2 linked regions of the Drosophila melanogaster genome follow. The protein of the gene in region 1 interacts with the protein of each later gene in a pairwise test. Each region holds a gene or a part of one and is shown on either strand. Other genes may lie near its edges.

Region 1 (3,381 bases):
AAACTGGTGGTCCGGCATACATAAATCCCTCAAAGGATTGGTCCACGAACGGACGACGTAAGTCAGGCGATGGGATCATTGAAATCCATCCAGTGGCTGTCAGTTAGCTGGTCACTGCTACTGGGGATTCTCACTCACCTTGGATACGTTAATGATTTGATTGCCCATTGACAGGCCAAATCCCCACGTCCCCGCAACTCCCATTCACCACTTCAATCAATGACAGACGGCTCGTTAAACTTCTTCTGCGGGTGCGTTCGTTCAATTAGCCCATGTCGTAAAGTACAAATAACTATTGCGTACAAGTTCCACGGAACTTGGATGGCAACTCTGGCTCTGGCTCTGGGCCCGGCCATAATCATTAAGCCCGCCGACTGGTAGCCGGCAATTTAAATTAAACAATCGTCAATGACGGCGACAAGAGTGAAAAACTAAAGTAAAGCAGGCAGTAATCAGTCGGTTTCTCAGTTCGCCAGTCAGTCAGTCAGTCAGTCCGTCCGGCAGTCATTCAGTCATTCAGTCGAGCAGTTTAGTCAATCCGTCAGTGCATCAGTCACTCACACGACGATTGCTACTTGGGCTGATAATAAGCGTCGCGCCGGCGCAATAAATGTGTGCCGACAGATAAATGTGTGCCCTCATCTGGTTGTTGCTTCTGTATATTTACGGCCAAGTGGTTGTCTGTGTGGAGTATCTGTGTCTCGCTGGCTTTCCGTGTATCCGTGCCTGTAATCGTAACCATATAAGCGTCTTAAATGGCAGGTGTGCACATCGCGTGGGAAACACACGACGCGTCTCGAGCGGTTCTCACGATATGAAAATCGAGCAAAACAAACGGAAAGACCCCTCAAGACCCTAACAACGGTGACAGCCACTTTCTCGGGATTCGAATTGGATCTGGGATGGGGATTGGGGTTAGCGTTAAGGGTTGTCAGTAAAGTGTGCATGGGGATCGGGCGAGCATTGGGTCAGGATTTATGGGGCAGCGATGATGGTGAAGGGACCCTAAAAAACCATGACTAGGACATATATCTAAGTGCTTGTTTGTAATGAATTGGATTTTATAATTACTTGCATGAGCAGATGACGAATCCCTAAAATTTTATGTACTTTGTATCCACCTATTTGATTCCTTATTGAGGTATAAGTGTTTGCTATCCATGATTACATCAACCTCTAACATCCCATATTTAGTTTTGAAACTGGCTAAAGGATCTAAACGATCCTCCTTCTTTCCTTTCAGCGATCCAAAGATCAGTAAGCCACAACAAGACAATTACAATTTTACCGAGTTTGATTTTCATTTGCTGGCCCAAACCGAATCAGTTTGTCGCAGACAATTGGGCCCAATTCTGAGCACCACGTTCCCACGTCTTGGCCAGCATTTTACGGTTTAATTGCAGTTACAATGCGTCGCCAGGACCCACACTCCTTGGCTAGACAATTGAAAGGAATAAAACACACAAAGGGAGCCAAGAAAAGCAGCCTGAAAACTCAGTCTTTGCACAACGATTTCCTTGGTTTCCTTTCCCACGCACGCACAGCATAGCAATAAGATTTCGAGATCTTTACGGTGTTCGCAGGTAGCAGGTCCTCCAGCAAGGACCTTCTCCACACTGCTGCTGCTGCGGCTGCTGCGGGTATAAAAGCCGGTGCAGTCGAGGAATCCAGCATCATTCGAGCAGCATCCTGCAAGCAGTTCAGATCAGCTCAGCACATTTCTACAAATCTTCCAAAACAAAAAACACATTACAAAATGGCACCACAGAGCAACAACAGCACCACATTCGTCTCCAAGACCCAGCACTATTTGAAGGTGAAGAAGCCCCTTTTGGAGCGCCAGCGTCGGGCCCGCATGAACAAGTGTTTGGACACCTTGAAGACCTTGGTGGCCGAGTTCCAGGGCGATGATGCCATCCTGCGAATGGACAAGGCCGAGATGCTGGAGGCGGCACTCGTCTTCATGCGCAAACAGGTCGTCAAGCAGCAGGCGCCGGTCTCCCCACTTCCCATGGATAGCTTCAAGAATGGCTACATGAACGCCGTCAGCGAGATCTCCCGTGTGATGGCCTGCACTCCAGCCATGAGTGTGGATGTGGGCAAGACAGTGATGACCCATCTGGGCGTCGAGTTCCAGCGCATGCTGCAGGCCGATCAGGTCCAGACTTCTGTTACAACCTCCACCCCACGCCCACTCAGCCCCGCCTCCTCGGGATACCACAGCGATAACGAGGACTCTCAATCCGCCGCCAGCCCCAAGCCAGTCGAAGAAACCATGTGGCGCCCTTGGTAAATCACCATCACCATCATCATCGACATCGAATCCAGTCTTCCAGCTGAAGAATCTTCTTCAGCATCGACATTGAATCCTGTCTTCCACCAGCAACTTCTGCTGCAACGAATCATGTCTTCCAATTGAATCGTTAACAATGTGATAACAGCTTTACCTAGATCATAAGCACACCTCAAGCTTTATTAGTTTATTAAGGAATTTATTTTAAGAGAACAACACAACAGCTTTAATAGTTATAAAATACAAAACACACAAAAACCTTAATACTTTGGTCTATTTATTTACTTAAATTAACAAAAATCATAGGCCAAAATTCTAATTGGCTTTGTGATTTTCGGCTTGCAGATATCTCATTAATCTAATATGATTTATTTGTTACAAATCTTAAACAAGGAGAAAATATTGAATCAAATCCAAAAATATCATCATGATCATGGATGATCAAGACGAGTGTTGTAGATTTTGCTTAGATTTTAGATTAGTAAAATAAACTTTGCAGAACATTCAAGTAATTGTAATTCTGAAGAGACAATGTCAAGTGAAAGTAATCCCTCTCTGTGTAGATATAAGATTGTCAAGAATATTGTTCTGCTTCTTTGAAAAATAATTACCCTTGTTGAGCAATTCATTAGAATAATTCCACAGTTTTTGTGTAAAAGACACACATTAAGCAGTACCTCCCCCGCCTGATGATCGATCTAAACAAGATCCGTGCTTGACAACCCAGCTGCGACCTCCTCGACGAAGAGTTGAACTCCCCCGGGTCCAAGTAGGAGGTCCTCTGGCCATAAACCCAGTCAAACCCCTAGCCAAGCGACGCCCCCGAGGACCGGAGACAAAAAAAGACACAGACCTGTCTACGCCTCGATCAACAGCTTAACACTGTGGTGTTGCACGTGTTGCAAAGTGTTGTCGAATCTGCATACCCCTCGAGCCCCTGGACAGGGCTCACATATCGTTTTGGGACTTTTTTCTCTCGTGTTTGTCAGCCAGGGGAGGTTCCGGGCCCATCGAGTTAAACCGTCAATTACGACCGCTTTTGTGCCCTGCACGTGCGTGCTGAGTGATGGGCGGGGATCGAGGAACGG
Region 2 (4,884 bases), on another chromosome or scaffold:
GCCTTTTTTTAAAACTTTAAAACCTTTGAATGTAAGGCTTTGCAGTATGACAGCTCTATTAACGGATAAGACTGTCTTATTGTAATCTTCAGTTGAGATTGCGAATTCCTCACCGGCTTTCCAGCATCTTTACCACCTTTTTACCCTTTTCTCGTAACGGAAAACGTCAGTCAGTCAGTTGTTACCCAGTTAGGCAGTAAAGCAGTAAAGCATTTCCCTCGACTCTTGCCGGTTCGGTTCATTCAACTAAATAATTTGAGTGGCATTCATGCAGGTCCACTGGCTCACAGCTCATGTTTCAGGATTCCCTGTTTGGTCCTGACTGCTGCTGTTGGTACATTCGTTTTGTAATTGTGTGGCAGGTGACGGCAATCTTCCATTGTTCGAGCTATGAAGGCCGAGCCGGGAGTTCGAGTTCGGTTTCTACTTGAACTCACCCCATGTCGAATTGTAAGGGCGAAAAGTGCCCCCTACGATAAGAACAAGCTGCAGTGCACACACACAAAGCCATTCGTTTTATGTGCCCTGCAATATACAATATTTATTTGAATTTAAGTCCTTTGTTTGGGACCTGAAATCCGCACACAGCGGTACACTGATTCCAGGGTTGTTTGCTTTGGCTACTATTTTTGACTTTGTCCAGGAGTTCGTCCATTCTTCCCACTCGCAAAACCATTTTCTGGCTCGTTTTGATCGTCAACTTTATTTGCAAAAATAAATCTTTATGGTTTTACATCGAAATTCAATCTTATCACCTTAAAGTTCTGGCCCTGACTAGCTCGCTTTCCTTGCATTGCAATAACTGATATAGAATCTGGCATAACCTACATACACTTAATCGATTGTACAGTTAATTATGGCTAATACCTGGTTCATTTTAAGAATCCTTATAGATAGGTCTTAAATCTAGAATGGCAAGGTACGTATCGCTTACACTAAATGGACAACCGATTTGTACTATATAGTCAAGAAGAATGCGAATATGTTGAGAAGAAGAGTGCTTTTTGGAAAATTGATTACCCTAAGCACTTTTAATTCAAATATTCACCAGAGATCCGCAAGAAGGAAGCCAATGAATACAAATATAATGGGAATTCATATGAATTAATAATGAGTTCGTGAAGCTTAACTTTGGATGTTTGACTTTAAATTGGTTAATCTATTGAGGATCCCTCTATAACATGAAACTAATTGAGTTCAAAGATTAGCGCAAGTGTGAAATATACAATTTTTAAAGATATTTCATTTTCAAACTTGATGATAATCTTAGCAGTCAATTAGGTGCCTCGCTTATTACCAATATCAACGGATTGCAGGAAAGTTGAGAAAAGTAAGGAAGGGAAATCCCGAGATAGGACCCATAAGTTACTTTAGTTATGTTTTTAAAGTAAGTCAAGGGCAAATCGCTTAGAGGAATTCCCCTTGATCAGTTTCCTGCAATTTCCGGCAATCTTTTAGTATATCACGCTGAAAACCCTAAGATCGTAGTTTGGCCCACAAAACTGTGCTACACCTGCGGGGCGAAGTTTTTGTAGCTGTGTTGATGTGGAACGGGATGCACGTGTGCCTGATCCTCCGGATAGTCCTTCCATGGCGGTGTTTGCGAGTAGAAGCTGCTCTGCTGGTGAATCCCAGAATCCAAGTTCGTAGAATGAAGATTGGCAGCTGCATCGAAGGATCCCCTGAACAGATCGTATTTCTCCTGCGAGAACTGCTGCGGGCTGGACTCCTGCTGGGGATTAGGCTGCAGATGGTGAGGCTGATGCGGCTGCTGTTGCTGTTGGTGGTAAAACCGCATGCTGCCTGTAAAGTCGAATCCTGGTGGCTGCTGCGGATAGTCCATGCCGTGCTGAAAGCCACCCATCGCCGGCGGCTGCTCCGCGTGCGATGCTGGAGCAGTCTGGTGCTGTGCAAGAGGCGCCATTCCCTGTCCATAGGGGAACATTCGTCCGAACAAGGGATACGGCTGTGGATTCACGAAAAGAGCATCGAAGAGCTCCTTGGTAATCCTCTCACCACTCAGCGTGAAGTTCTGCAGCTTCTCCAGATCCAGGTTGATTGAACCTCCGCTTTCCAGCACCTGCTCCAGGGCAAAGATGTAGTTGTGCGCAAATCGCAGAATCTCGATCTTCGTCAGCTTCGTCTCCTCGGGAAGCGAGGGCAGAGTGACGCGTAGTTTCTCCAGGGCATCATTCAAGTTATGCATCCGATTCCGCTCCCGGTCATTGGCCTTCATGCGGCGGAAACGCTTGATCTTCACCACTTGGGTTGGACTGCGCGAGCGAGTTACTCTGTTCTTGCCGACGGCATATTTGCGTTTCGGTCGCGGCGCATTGGGATCCTCTGGCGACTTCACCGGCGTACTGGTCAATGGCGGATCGAAGACGCCATTCGTGGCCCGACTGTTCAGATGTTCGACCAGTGTCCTGCCGCTCCGAGTGCTGTGATTGCTGCTCGTATCGAGCAATCCCACGAAGCCCGCCGGCGGTGAGCTGAGCGGTACGGCGTCCCAGGTGCCGCCGGAGTACGGTTGCGGGATCGCCGGAGTCGGCGGAGTGCCAAAGTCCAAGCGGCGTCGTGAGCTCAACTGGGCCTCCGTCTCGAAACTCTTCTCGTAGCCACTGTCGAAGGAGGCGTCGTCGTCGTCCTCGTCGAACTCGAAGGACTGTGATCCAGCGCTATAGGCATTGTAGCAGGCGGCCATGATCTCGTATCTGTATCACGGTGTGTATATCCTTTAGCACATTTCCGATTTACGATTTCCGCTTTGAGAGAGTTGTTTCTTCGCGTCTCGCGTGCCCGCACCAACTAAAAGCTGGCGAGGAGTGCGCACCGGTTTTATGTGCCCGGCCAGCCATTAAGCCCGCTGATTTGGGTCCGGACTAACAGGCATCAACCCTCGGCGCATTGTCGTCGGTCGTGGCGGCGCCATAGCGCAAAGTAGAGAGCACAGAACCCCGACACAAATCCCAACAGATATGCGCCGTGATTGCCGCCCGGGGGTGGCTTTTGCCAACTCACACACCAACGTCGTCTAGCTAGAACTGCCTGCAGCGGGGTGAACTTCCTGGAGATGGAGATTCGTTCTGCGGGCCGCCGCTACCAGTCAAAATACGAGCATTTTTCACGCTTCGCTGCGAGCGGTGCTCTCTAGGCCAATCGGAAGGATGTCTGCGTCCGAGGATCAGCGGTGTCGCCAACGGCATCATCAAAGCTCGTCTCTATAGTCATACCCTTCCTCTAGGGTTATTTAAATACAATGTGCTTACTGCACAGCTTAAACTTAATTATATTTATATTAATGAATGAGTAGTATTGTTGGTCAATTTAAGATATGCTTTATATTATAGTTAAATTAAAAGAAGAAATATTATATTATTATATATTTTGTAAAAATCACTTAGTTTAAGGATAAATCCAAAAATTATTTGAAATAGGGAATACTTTTGTTTAATATGATATCTTCGGATCATTACGACTTTGTTATATTTTCGGTGTAGGTATAATTTTCGGACGAGATTTAATCCATTTCCGTACTAAAAGATTTCTTACCCTTTCCTACATATATAGAGTATGTGTGCTTCGTGGACTAAATAAATTGTTATTTTGTTTTATCGCCACATCGAAATAATGCGATTGCAATTCAAAAGATTCAATTACCATCAACTCTTTCGCCTTTCGCAACTAAACCGCAATAATCGTTTAGGGCTTACGCCTGTCGCTAAACGGGTTAGTGGCACGTGGCCAGGATGCCGCCTCCACTTACCAAAAGCAACATGTGTATTCAACGGAAAGCTCTCACTCCCACAGGACTCCATCCTCCTGGTAGAAAACCCAGGCGTTGCCACGTGCCGCGGTCTTAACGGCTGCTCAAGTGGCAAAGTGTGCCGATGTGGGATTCCTATCTGTGGCAATCCTGTTAAAGGAGGATCGGAGTTGCAATTTCAAGTGGGCGACGGGTGCCACGTGCGGATTTGTTATGATATGCGGCAATTGCCGCAAATTACCAGCACGAGTGAGAACTTGAGTGTCGAGGGGGCTAATTTAGTAATATGCCACATTTCAGGCAGTTCCTCCTAATGGAAATGAATTGAGTGCTTTTGTTGAAAAAATATAAACCTTGCTTCAGTAATTGTGACACCATCAATTTTTTCTTTAATAGTGCTTTATAAGGTAGCTAAGTATGTTATGAAAAATGTACTAAGTAGAGCTGATGTTTGATTAATTTCCTTATAGATTTCAAAACCAAGATAGTTTTATATAAATAAACAAATACTTAATGGTATACTTATTTATTTATTTTTTAATCAGTTTTCTTGTATGATCAGTACAATGAGTGTTTTCGTAACTTATAAAATATATTTATATATATATAAATATATTTATATATATAAATATATATAAATATATTTATATTGAAGTTTTAAACAGAATATTAATGGTAGTTTGTATCAATATCTTTATAAGAGCTAAGTACTACTAACAATGTTTCTTACATGAGAAGAAAATCTATCCCATATATGCCACTTAAATTCACACCAGCAGCCACGTGTCGCCGTCGTCGTCATCCATGTTACAAAGCTTCTCCGCCGCGTGTAGCTAATTTGGTTTTTTAGAGCCACAATGCACATCAATTAGGCAGTTAATTGAAGTGCGGATGCGTTTGCTTTTTCCATTGAGTGTTGTCCTGGACTCGATGAGAGTCCTTTTTTAAAGGCCCTCGGGCGGCGTTACAGTCCAAATAAAAACCGAAATACAATGCCGGAGCCGGAAACTTGGTCAAACAGATGTACACGTAAATAATTTCATCAAAATCCTGGCGTTTTGGTAGCCAAAGCAAATACCAAGTGTGCCCCAGGCTAATTGCATTCTAACAACCGAGAC

Evidence for each region.
Region 2: the proteins of E(spl)m5-HLH (region 1) and tap interact in a two-hybrid assay, tested with the Drosophila melanogaster proteins (one large-scale study listed by BioGRID).

Annotation. Positions count from the first base shown.
Region 1 is NT_033777.3:26,028,028-26,031,408, reverse strand, and holds E(spl)m5-HLH (enhancer of split m5, helix-loop-helix), read left to right. Parts: upstream 1-1,673; 5' UTR 1,674-1,756; coding exon 1,757-2,293; 3' UTR 2,294-2,555; downstream 2,556-3,381. UniProt on the Drosophila melanogaster protein: Participates in the control of cell fate choice by uncommitted neuroectodermal cells in the embryo. Transcriptional repressor. Binds DNA on N-box motifs: 5'-CACNAG-3'.
Region 2 is NT_037436.4:17,357,613-17,362,496, reverse strand, and holds tap (target of poxn), read right to left. Parts: upstream 2,816-4,884; 5' UTR 2,705-2,815; coding exon 1,508-2,704; 3' UTR 686-1,507; downstream 1-685. UniProt on the Drosophila melanogaster protein: May play a role in the specification of the sugar-sensitive adult gustatory neuron and affect the response to sugar and salt. Regulated by POXN.